Canis lupus familiaris: one gene and its partners. The protein of the gene in region 3 purifies or fractionates together with the protein of the main gene of each other region. This does not show direct contact. Links are inferred from orthologs where the notes say so. Each region holds a gene or a part of one and is shown on either strand. Other genes may lie near its edges.

Region 1 (4,306 bases), on a different chromosome or scaffold from region 3:
ACATGAAAAGATGCTCAACATCACTCATCACTAGGGAAATGCAAATAAAAACTACAATGAGACATCCCCTCAGCTGCCAGAATGGCGAAAATCAACAACACAAAAAATAGCAGGTGCTGGCAAGGATGTGGAGAAAGGGGAACCGTCTCCCGGTGTTGGTGCGAATGCAACCTGTGCAGCCACTGCGTAAAACAGTATGGAGGTTCGTCAAAAAATTGAAAATAGAACTACTCTCATGATCTAGTAATTGCACTACTGTTACTCAAAGAACACAAATACAAATTCAAAGGGATACATGCACACTGATGTTTGTAGCAGCATTGTTCATGATAGCTAAGATATGCAAGCAGCCCAAGTGTCCATCAACAGATGAGTGGATAAAGGAGATGTGGGGTGTGTGTGTATGTGTGTGCGTGTGTGGGGAATACCATCCAGCCATAAAAAATGAAACCTTGCCATTTGCATTGACATGGATGGGGCTAGAGAATATTATGGCAAGTGAAATGTCAGAGAAAGACAAATACCATATGATTTCATTCATATGTAGAATTTAAGAAACAAAATAAATGAACATGGGGGGGGGGGTGAAGAGAGGCCAACCAAGAAACAGACTCTTAACTACAGAGAACACACTGATGGTGACCAGAGGGGAGGTGGGGGGGGGAATACGTTACATTGGTGATGGGAAATAAAGACTGCACTTATCATGATTAAAGAAAACAAAAGAAATTTAACAGAGTTTTATAAAAGAACAGTCTCCAGGCACCCCTCACACTTTCAAAACTCTTGTGTGACTTTGCTCAGTGTCTCCGCCCGAGTGGGTGTCAAAAAGTACATTTTGATGACCTCTCCCCTCATGCTCAGTCATATCTGTTTCACTCCCTCAAAACTCCCCCTCAAAGGGAGAGCCTCAGCGGGATTCGGTTTCTAAGTCGCAGCTGTCCACACCTCCTCGACACTCCCATTCCCTTCTCTGGCTCTGCTGTCCCTTGAGCACAGTCTCTGCTCTGACCCTCAAGGTCACGGTCTTCTCTGGCCCCTCTTTCCAAATTCAGTCTTAAGCCAGACCAGAAAGCCCCCAACCGGAAGGCCCCACCCAGCCCCCTACCCTCCCACCCAGTAGCGGATAGAAGGCAGCCTCCGAGGGTGAGGTCGTGACCCTTACCCGTCCGTAGGCGACCCCCCGGCCAGCCTCCGCGCGCCCTCAGCTTGCACCCAAAGGCCTCGGGCCGCTGGCGGTCACCCTTTTCTCCCCACCAGCATGAGCCGAGGATCGGCCGAGATGCCTCCGCCAAGGGGATTGGCTCAGCTCGGCGCCGGCTCAGCCAATCGGCGCTCACAATGTGATCCTGTCCAATGAGGCCAGGCCTCGGCTGTGAAAGCACAGCCCCCTTGCCCTGGGCCTGGCCTTTGTCCGCTTAGCCCCACCCACCACGGCTCCCCGCCAATGGGGAGCAGCGGCGGCGAGCGGGCTGCCAATGGGGAGCGGAGCCGCGCGCGCGGGGCGGTGGGAAAGGCGCCGAGTCAGTGTGTACGTCGGTTGCCGTAACAACGGTCCGCGGAGTCCATCGGCAATGGTGAGTGGGGGCCGCCCTTTGGTGCCCCGCGGCCAGGGGCTGAGCCCTTCTCAGGCTTCGTGTGGCCCTGCCGTCGCTCCCGCGCCGCTCTCGGCTTTGGAGTGCCCCTACTTCCTCTCGGCTAGTTCCCGGAAGGGTAGGGTAGAGACGTCGGCCGCCACCTGGGCCTGCGGTCCTGCGCCGCCTCCCCTTCGTTCAGTCTGCGCCCACCCATCCCTCGGGCGCGCGTGGCCTTCCCCTGCCAGCCCCCGCGTGACTGCCCCTGGTCAAAGAATACTCGGGTTACCCGCAGGCTCTGACCTCTCAGACCCTGACCTCCTGGTCGCTTCGTGCTACCAAAGTTTACCCACAGACCTGGGAGGAGGTTTATTATGTTTGATTGTTAACGTGCATTCTGAATAAATACAGGGATCTTTCGGGAGACGTTTTGATCTAATTAAAGTAGGCACAGACCTGCCTAGTGGATGGAATTTTATTATACACCTTAGCAAAGTAGTAATATTGGGCCAAATGTAGAAGTAATCACAAAGTTGGAGTACAGAGAGGAGGAATACTGCGAGCCAATGTTGTAAGGGCTTTTCTTGAATTAGGATCGCCAAATTCAAGGACAGCTGATCATCTGTACAGTTATCCACAGTCAGCTCCTTGGCTGGATCTCTTTGGGGATGATTTTCAATAAGAGATGTGCAAAGGAACACGGGATCTCCTTGCTTCTACAAAGAATAGGAAAAAAGAAGGAGGGATAGCGGTGCACGGAAAGATTGTTGTTTCAAGTAAAGCCCTGTTATCTCTCCTATTAAGCAAAGCTGTGGAATTGCTTGGTGTAAATATTTTATGTAAATATTTGTAACTATTTTATGTAAAATATGGATTGCATCACTTAATATCGTACTTCTGTGTTTGTAAAACACCTAAAGGCCTCTAACTTTAAGAAGGCAAGCATGGCATCATCTGCCCAACGAAAAAGGATGAGTCCTAAGCCGGAGCTGACTGAAGAGCAGAAACAGGAAATCCGGGAAGCTTTTGATCTCTTTGATGCTGATGGAACTGGGACCATAGACGTAAAGGAACTTAAGGCAAGCCCTTTACATTCCCACTGTACTGCCTTCCTTTCCTCTACTTCTTTCTCTTCTTTCCTTGTCACTGCTCTACCCCTTTTGCCCTCTTTTCCCTGCAAAAAGTTTTCCTGTTTTTCTCTTCTCCTGTCTTTATTTACCTCAAGTGTTATAAAATAAAATTGAGCACAAATATCAATCTGCATAACGCTATAGTGTTTCCCAGTCATTTTAACATGATTGTGTCAGATGCTGGCCTCATGCTCTCACTGTCATTTTTGTTCCTGCCAGGTTTTGATGTGCATATTGACATGATCCTGTTTTCATTGTAGGTGGCAATGAGGGCACTGGGCTTTGAACCCAAAAAAGAAGAGATCAAAAAAATGATAAGTGAAATCGATAAGGAAGGGACAGGAAAAATGAACTTTAGTGACTTCTTGACTGTGATGACTCAGAAAATGGTAAGTTACTAGGATAATCAGCCTATTTTCCACCCATATTGGTGAACAAATTTGAATCTAGATATAAAAATGTCTTCACTGAAGAAAGGTTAATACCAACTGGAGGGTTCTGCTGAAAAAGGGCAGTACTTATGACTGACAGGATGCTTAGGTTCTATCTGGCTCTCTTCAAGGCCACAGAATCACAGGAAAAGTCAGTTTACCCTTTGAGTAAGAGAACTGCTGTCACTCTTTTGTGATTATTTTTTTCCAACTGATGTGTTAACGTGCTGACCACAAGCAGTAAAACCTGTAAACACCAGCAATATTGCACTGCCTGACAATATGAAATGCCTATACTTTAAAGGTCAAAATTCTTTTCTCTCTCGTTTCTGATTCTGGGCGGCTCTAGCCTGAGGGCGGGTGACTTCTGACAGCTGTGTTTTCCACTACACTGGGAATTTGGCCTTTCAGCACTTTCATTTTTTTTCTTTTTTTCTGATTTTATTTTTTATTTTTTTATTTTTATTTTTTGGAGTTCGATTTGCCAACATATAGTATAACACCCAGTGCTCATCCCGCCAAGTGCCCCTCTCAGTGCCCATCACCCAGTCACCCCAACCCCCCGCCTACCGCCCCTTCCACTACCCCTGTTCATTTCCCAGAATTAGGTGTCTCTCATGTTTTGTCACCCTCACTGATATTTTCACTCATTTTCTCTCCTTTCCCTTTATTCCCTTTTGTTAACTTTTATATTCCCCAAGTGAATGAGACCATATAATGTTTGTCCTTTTCCAATTGACTTACTTCACTCAGCATAATACCCTCCAGTTCCATCCATGTTGAAGCAAATAGTGGGTATTTGTCGTTTCTAACGGCTGAGGAATATTCCATTGTATACATAGACCACATCTTGTCTATCCATCCATCTTTCGATGGATACCGAGGCTCCTTCCACAGTTTGGCTATTGTGGGCATTGCTGCTGTAAACATCGGGGTGCAGGTGTCCCAGCGTTTCACTGCATCCTTTCAGCACTTTCAAGGTTGAAGTCACCCATTCCCTAGTGCCTCACTTGTCCCCATTTTATTTTTTAAAATTTTATTTATTTATTCATGAGACACACACACACACACACACACACACACACACACACACAGAGGCAGAGACACAGAGGGAGAAGCAGGCTCCATGCAGGATCAGGCCCTGGGCTGAAGGCGGCACTAAACCACTGAG
Region 2 (3,651 bases), on a different chromosome or scaffold from region 3:
AGAACAAGATGCCTATCAAAATTATCATTCCAATCAAGATGACAGATGAGTTTACGAAGGTTTAGAAGACAACAGAGAAAAAAGAAGATGCTAACTTAGCCGGGAAGAGCCCATCCACAAAAAGTTCTGGAGAAGGGAGAACTTAAGAACACAAGGGACTGGGGATACCTGGCTCAGTGGGTTAAGCATCTGCCTTCAGCTCTGATCCCAGGATGCTGGGATCAAGCCCCACCACGAGGAGCCTGCTTCTGCTGCTCTCCCTCTCCCTCTCTCTCCTCCTTCCTCTACCCCTCCCTCCCTCTCTCTCCTCCTTCCTCTACCCCTCCCTCCCATTGGAGGGGGCTCTCTCTCTCTCTAATAAATATAAATCTAAAAAAAAAAAAAAAAAACCCACAAGGGACTGGAAGCAGACATGCATGGTAGGGAGAGAATCTTCAATAAAGAATAAAAAAGACAGTAATGACAGATAAAAGACTAGAGGGTTCTGAAGTCCATATTTAAAGAGACTAAAGTAAGGATAGGTGTATCTTAAGAAGCCTGTAAACAGGGTATTGGTTAAAAACAGAATTTTAGGGATCCCTGGGTGGCGCAGCGGTTTGGCGCCTGCCTTTGGCCCAGGGCACGATCCTGGAGACTCAGGATCGAATCCCACGTCAGGCTCCCGGTGCATGGAGCCTGCTTCTCCCTCTGCCTGTGTCTCTGCCTCTCTCTCTCTGTGTCTATCATGAATAAATAAATAAAATCTTTAAAAAAAAAAAAAAACAGAATTTTAGGAGAATAATCTGATTAACAGAGTGGACTGGATAAGAGGACAGGAGGCCATGACAGGTGCGGCTGTGGAGGTGCCTCCGGCAGGTGCCTCAGGCACAGAGCACAATCAAAATGAAGAATACACCAGGAAAAGGCCATGAGACACACCGGGGACTGTCATGCAGCAGCAGGCAGGAAAAACGAGGAGAACAGGAAAATCTCAACTAATCCCCAGATGACAAATTTAGGACAACTGCAAAGTTCAGAAAGACAACAGAATCTTAGAAAAACAGGGGAAAGGGAAGTTGGGGAAGAAAGTACATAAGGGATATAAAATTAAGATTTAGATTTTAATGCACTGATCTATCTAGAGTCAAACTTACATACAACTAAAGAGTCCAGTTTGTGCCACATCTCACTTTCACTAATCCCATTTAAACTAGAAGTGTTAATTTTTTTGGATAAAGGCCAAAATTAAGTTATAATTGGCTATTTTGTCTTCCCAACTGTATCCATGTAAGCTCTGCTCCCCACCAAAACATATCCTAACCATAATATAGTCTGCCTAATGTGCCTTGGTCAGTGACCAGCAAAACCCATGGATAATTCTAAATAATAATGACAATTTTAAACACTAGATCCTTTCAGAATTGTAGTCTATGAAAGTATAAAATCTCCCATAAATTCTTGCAATTCTTAAACTAAATGTTTTTTGCATGAAGCCTTAAACACATGAGGCAATTACAGAAGAGTATCTGAAGTTTATCTTTAATCACTCACTGTAAAATCTTTCAGTTACTAAAGACATTAGAAACAACTATTTAGGGTAGACCCAGTGGCTCAGCGGTTTAGCGCCGCCTTCAGCCCAGGGCGTGATCCTGAAGACCAGGGATCGAGTCCCACATCAGGCTCCCTTCATGAAGCCTGCTTCTCCCTCTGCCTGTGTCTCTGCCTCTCTCTCATTTTCTCTCTCTCTCTCTGTCTCTCATGAATAAATAAATAAAATCTTTTAAAAAAATTTTTAAAAATAAACATATTTTTAATCCCAGGTAGAGGGGATTCCTGGGTGGCGCAGCGGTTTAGCGCCTGCCTTTGGCCCAGGGAGCGATCCTGGAGACACGGGATCGAATCCCACATCGGGCTCCCGGTGCATGGAGCCTGCTTCTCCCTCTGCCTGTGTCTCTGCCTCTCTCTCTCTCTCTCTCTCTCTGTGACTATCATACATAAATAAATAAAAATAAATAAATAAAATAATAAAATAAAATAAAATAAAATAAAATAAAATAAAATAAAATAAAATAAATCCCAGGTAGAATTCCTGCTCAACACTTTTTCTTTGGAGAATATTTTAACTTGGAAAGACTAGAAAAAGAGCAACACCACAAAGGCTTATTCAAATATATGTATCAGTTAAAAAAAAAAATCACTGAGTGTTATCATTTCAGTAACTTTTTTTTTTACTTGTTCTTGATTCACAAGAAAAGTGTGTTTTATTTAAAATAAGTGATAATAAAGTAAGCAGATCACAGATGTACATACCATAAAATTCTGCTGAAGGGGAGACCAAGAATACATTATGGGTACTGAAGCAACCGCATTCAGAGTCTTTAATGGGATGACTTGTGTTGGAAAATCCAAGTCACTGGTCACTGAACACTAGAACAGAAAAAAATAAAATTGACTCATAAGAATAAAAGGACAACCTCAAGTGGTAGACATATTAAAAAGGAACTCAGCCCACTTAAATAATTTTGAAAAGGAAATCCCTTTACCTAAGACAGAAAGGTTTCTAAAAACCATGAAGGATTCTCTCTCCTTCTCACTTTCTTTTACTTAGGGTGGGAAAAAAAAAAAAAAACGCTTCAGATTTTGCAAATTTTTAAAAGCCTCCAACGACCCTTCCCATACTTACCAATATCGATCAGAATCAAAAACGATATTTGCTAGCCTCAGGTTAACTGCTCCTTGCTTTCACTATAAATTTCTTGGCTTGATGCTTAGTTTCTTTTACATCTCCACCACTTGGAATAATATTATATATACCAAATATGCCTCTTAAATCTCAACTAATAATAATATGGAAACTATTAGGTTCACCTTTCTTATTTTTATCTTCCCTTCTTAAAAAACCCAAGCATCATTTGCTATTACCAGATGTTAAACAAAGATGAAGGGTCATAATAGATCTGAGTTTCAATCACAACAAAAGAAATTCCTATCCATTCTACAAAAGTATAATCTCTAAACTAGTAATAATAATAATAGGTAATATTATTAAGCACTTTCTATGTGCGAAGCACTATTTTAAACACATTCCATGTCTTTTATTTTTGTCCTCATGACACCATAAGATAGGGATTAATTCTTAGCCCCCATTTTACAGGTGAGAAAACTCTGGTGAATACAAAGGTCAGTAAATGGCCCAAAGCCATACATTAGACAGGGCTAGAATTTAAATCCAGAAAGAAAGTCTGACTCTGGAGCCTCTGCTCTTACCCACTATACATACTGCCACGATACTGTATCTCTATCATGTTTAAGTGCATAGACTCTCTGGAAATACCGTATTTCATCCAACCTATGATGACATTAATTTCAAGGCATTCCATTACTTTCTGTATCAGTAAGAAAATAATGTTGCCAGTTAAACTGTAACAAAGCTTTCTTTTTTTTTTTTTTTTTTTTTTTGTAACAAAGCTTTCTTATCACAGTAATTCTAAGATGCATTCCAGTTTCAGATGTTAAAACGTCAAAATTTTGCATCTCTTGATTCTATGAAATACGGTAAAAATCTGTGCCCAAATGATGACCACAGCACTTTCTATCCTGTCTAGGAATCCAGCTTTTCTTAAAGAGTACCATTATCCAATATCCAATTAGCAGGCTTCCAAGAACCTTCTC
Region 3 (3,651 bases):
ACCTTACCATGAAATACAAAATTAACCTCCTAACTAATCTTCCTGTTTCCATTCCACTTGATTTTATGCATAATGACAGGTCTCACCTGATTTCACTAAACCTTTTGTTGTGTACACTTCCCTGTTCCTTCCTCCATACCTTTGTTCATGTTGCTCCCTTGGGCTGAAGTGCTCCCCCTTCTGTATATGCCCCATTCATTCACTTAATTAACATTTGTTGGGCAACTACTATGCACAGAGCTCAGTTCTGGGCCTTGGGATACAGGTGAAATAGACAAGGTCCCTGTCATTACTGCCAGAGGGAGAGAAATAAGTAAATAAACTACTAATTGCAGATAGTGGGTTTTACCATTTAAACAAAAATAAGGGACACCTGGTTGGCTCAGCAGTTGACCATCTATCTGCCTTTGGCTCAGGGCAGATGTGATCAAGTCCTGCATCGGGCTCCTTGCATGGAGCCTGCTTCTCCTCCCTCTGCCTGTGTCTCTGCCTCTCTTTCGGTGTCTCATGAATAAATAAATAAAATCTTAAAAAAAATAATAAATAAATAAACAAAAATAGGTAATGTAATGAGGGTTAGGTGGTGCTACTTTTAAATAGGATGGTCTAGGGCAACCTGGGTGGCTCAGTGGTTTAGCGCCACCTTCAGCCCAGGGTGTGATCGAGTCTCATGTTGGGCTCCCTGCATGGAGCCTGCTTCTCCCTCTGCCTGTGTCTCTGTCTCTCTGTCTCTCTGTCTCTCCCCGCGCCCCCCACCCCCCACCGTGTCTCTCATGAATAAATAAATAAAATCTTAAAAAAATAATTAAAAAAAAGAAACTTTAAACAAACCAAAAACCAATGTGTGAAAAACATGATTTCAATAGTTTCAAATCACAGCACATAAAGTAACTTAAGAATAAGCTCTAAGGTTAACGTAGTTATTTCAAGGTGTGAAAATCCATATGCCTTGCTTAACCAATAGTTATGCAAACTAATTCACCTGTTTCTGAACACTAGAGATTTTTTGTTTTTGTTAACTGCTCTGAATTGAACTATACAATACCTTAGATATCGTCCAAGAATGAAGCAGTTGGGCCACTCTTAAGTTAAAAATTTTAAACTTTTATACCTAAAATATGCTGAATATTAAACTCTATAAGCAGAAGTTTGCAAGAATAATATTACTACGCAGAAAATGTGAAGGGTCTACTCATCGTCAATCCAGGGAAGCTAACCAGGGTATTCTTATTGAATACGGAAGGTGTCCATGAGTCAAGGCTAGAGATAATGACAGAATTTCTTTGTCTTTAAAAAAAAACCCAGAAGTAGATAGATGTTAAGTCATCTGCTAGCCGAATTTATACTATTAAAATCTGCTTCATCATGTGTTAAGTTTTGAAGCACTATAAGCAAAAGGAATGACTAAATGAGAAGTGTATAGTTGGAAGAGAGACTGGCTGGCTCAGTAGAGCATGAGACTCTTGATCTTGGGATTGTAAATTCAAGCCCCACATTGAGTACAGAGATTACTTTAAAAATAAAAAAATCTTTAAAACAAAAGAAGTGTGTAGTTGGAATATTACTACTACTGACCTGAATCGTTTGAGATGTAGTCTGAGAACCTGAGGTAGGTGGCAAATCATAAGCTGTTTTTGTGCTTCTGTGAGTACAACTGATTTTGAAGAAAACCTTCTACGCTTTGCTGTGACATCAAAGACAGAATAAGAATCAAATTTAAAAATACAAAGAAATGCTGAGTGGACTTTAGATACTTTAGAAACATATTATACTGCGCTAGAGATAAAGACATGGCCTTGTTCTCAAAAAACTTGTAAGTACAAACACACACAATTTAAGAGCTAGTTAGGCAGACAGACACATAAACAATTAAGTATCTGATTTAATATACTCCTACAAATAAGGCAACAGAATGATCTAGTGCTGTAATATTTAAAAATGAATTTGACTATTCCAATTAAAGAAAAAGTTAAAACTTTCCCTAAACATACTTTAATATACTCTTCCCAAATTCTTTGAAAATATCATGGTCAGTTCATTTACTGAGGGAAATTGGAATTCCAGTGGGGGTGGGCCCTTAATAGCTCAGAATATTCTTTCCTACTTCCTGATAAAGCAGTCCTCTTCCAGCTCAGAGCCTGAGGCCTCCCTCAGTGTCTTGCTTTTGCTGTTTTCATACCAGATCTTAAACAAGTGGCACTTGGGATTCTGTTTTGTTGTCTCTTCTGCTTCTCTAGAGGTCTACCTAAAGCTTCTGGCTGGGGCACTATTTACCAGAGCTTGCTCTGGACACCCAGGAGCGGTCCTTCAACGTATACAAGAGCTCTGACTCCAGCCACAGCAGCAGCTGCTTCTCCTAAGGTGGAATTAGTCTCCCAGGAGGCTGTCTTCTAAGCCATCTCCACCTGCCATAGGTATCCTGTCTTCCAGGTCTCTGTTCCTGAGACTTGTGCTGTTCCTGTTCCTGTGCTGCTTAATGTCCTAGACTTACTTTTGGATCACCTCCCTGAATGTATGGCCTCAAATACGGCTATATACGTGATGTCAACTCCCTGACTTATAATTTTAAACATTTGCCTTTATGTATTAAATTATAACAGCTCTTATAGGACTTTATTTGGTAAACCCAGTAAACACATAGAAACAGGTTATAAAACCATATTCTATATTCATTCATAATATCTTTCTATTCCCAGATTTGGTGTTGGAGGCATCTAGAACCATTCACATTTATGTCCAAGAAAAAAATTACTTCATCATTCGAATTTGATAAAGGTTTTTTTCAAACATTATAAATCTTAGGCTACTTATCACAGAGTTCATATTAGCACTCAGAAAATGTTAATAGAAGGCATTCTAAAAAAAACATCAATTGATGTGACATTTCTTCAGTGCTGGAACATCCAATATTTCTTTTATATTACCTTTGAAGTTTAGTATCTAAGATCCAGGATCCTTTTTTTCAAACATGGAAATTAGAGAACACCTGAATACCTGGTATTCTAAGATACCACATGCATACTGATAGAGAAGATAAAGATACCAAAAAGACACAGCAGATCTGTCATAGTTTCATACACAATTTCCCTGGAGTTTGATGCTTTCCTTTAATTGAAATTACTATTTCAACCCCCCAGTGCTGAGTTCCTGGGTTCACCTCTAGTAGAAAATTTCTCATAATAGATCTTAATTGTCTGTTTCTTCCATTAGGTATGTGAGCACCTTGAAGGTGTTTTATTTCTATCCATAGCAATTAGAATAATGAATATAGAAGAGATAGCAGATGGTTTTTGACTAAATCTTTGTTTTTATGAAGCCAATCTCCATAGCAGCAGTCCAGCTATATATTTCCTTTAATAAATATATATATGCATATATATGTATATGTATATGCATATACACACTTATATATGTATATTATCTATATATCAAAAGGACTGTATAGATAGCAAAAGGACTCATAAAGCAAACATTTTATTTAGTACTAAATACCATGCTTTCCTTTTACTATTCCCTATTGCCTCTTTATTCTGCCTCACATATTAAGTTCAAATTTCTTATTAATCTTTTCCATAATTGACTATGAGATCAAAAAAGTTTAAAGGTCATCAATAAGGGAAAACAAACACATAGTTCACCAGCGCCAATTAT

The links.
Region 1: the proteins of USP44 (region 3) and CETN2 purify together in Homo sapiens (affinity purification with mass spectrometry; 4 studies listed by BioGRID and IntAct, counting the BioPlex papers as one, with this or other methods). This does not show direct contact. The link is inferred for Canis lupus familiaris from reciprocal best matches to the Homo sapiens genes USP44 and CETN2.
Region 2: the proteins of USP44 (region 3) and EZH2 purify together in Homo sapiens (affinity purification with western blotting; 3 studies listed by BioGRID, with this or other methods). This does not show direct contact. The link is inferred for Canis lupus familiaris from reciprocal best matches to the Homo sapiens genes USP44 and EZH2.

Annotation. Positions count from the first base shown.
Region 1 is NC_049260.1:122,023,747-122,028,052, reverse strand, and holds the start of CETN2 (centrin-2), read left to right. Parts: upstream 1-1,438; 5' UTR 1,439-1,478; coding exon 1,479-1,577; intron 1,578-2,494; coding exon 2,495-2,653; intron 2,654-2,964; coding exon 2,965-3,093; intron 3,094-4,306. UniProt on the Homo sapiens protein: Plays a fundamental role in microtubule organizing center structure and function. Required for centriole duplication and correct spindle formation. Has a role in regulating cytokinesis and genome stability via cooperation with CALM1 and CCP110.
Region 2 is NC_049237.1:1,619,137-1,622,787, reverse strand, and holds part of EZH2 (histone-lysine N-methyltransferase EZH2), read right to left. Parts: intron 2,407-3,651; coding exon 2,290-2,406; intron 1-2,289. UniProt on the Homo sapiens protein: Polycomb group (PcG) protein. Catalytic subunit of the PRC2/EED-EZH2 complex, which methylates 'Lys-9' (H3K9me) and 'Lys-27' (H3K27me) of histone H3, leading to transcriptional repression of the affected target gene.
Region 3 is NC_049236.1:35,701,036-35,704,686, forward strand, and holds part of USP44 (ubiquitin carboxyl-terminal hydrolase 44), read right to left. Parts: intron 1,685-3,651; coding exon 1,576-1,684; intron 1-1,575.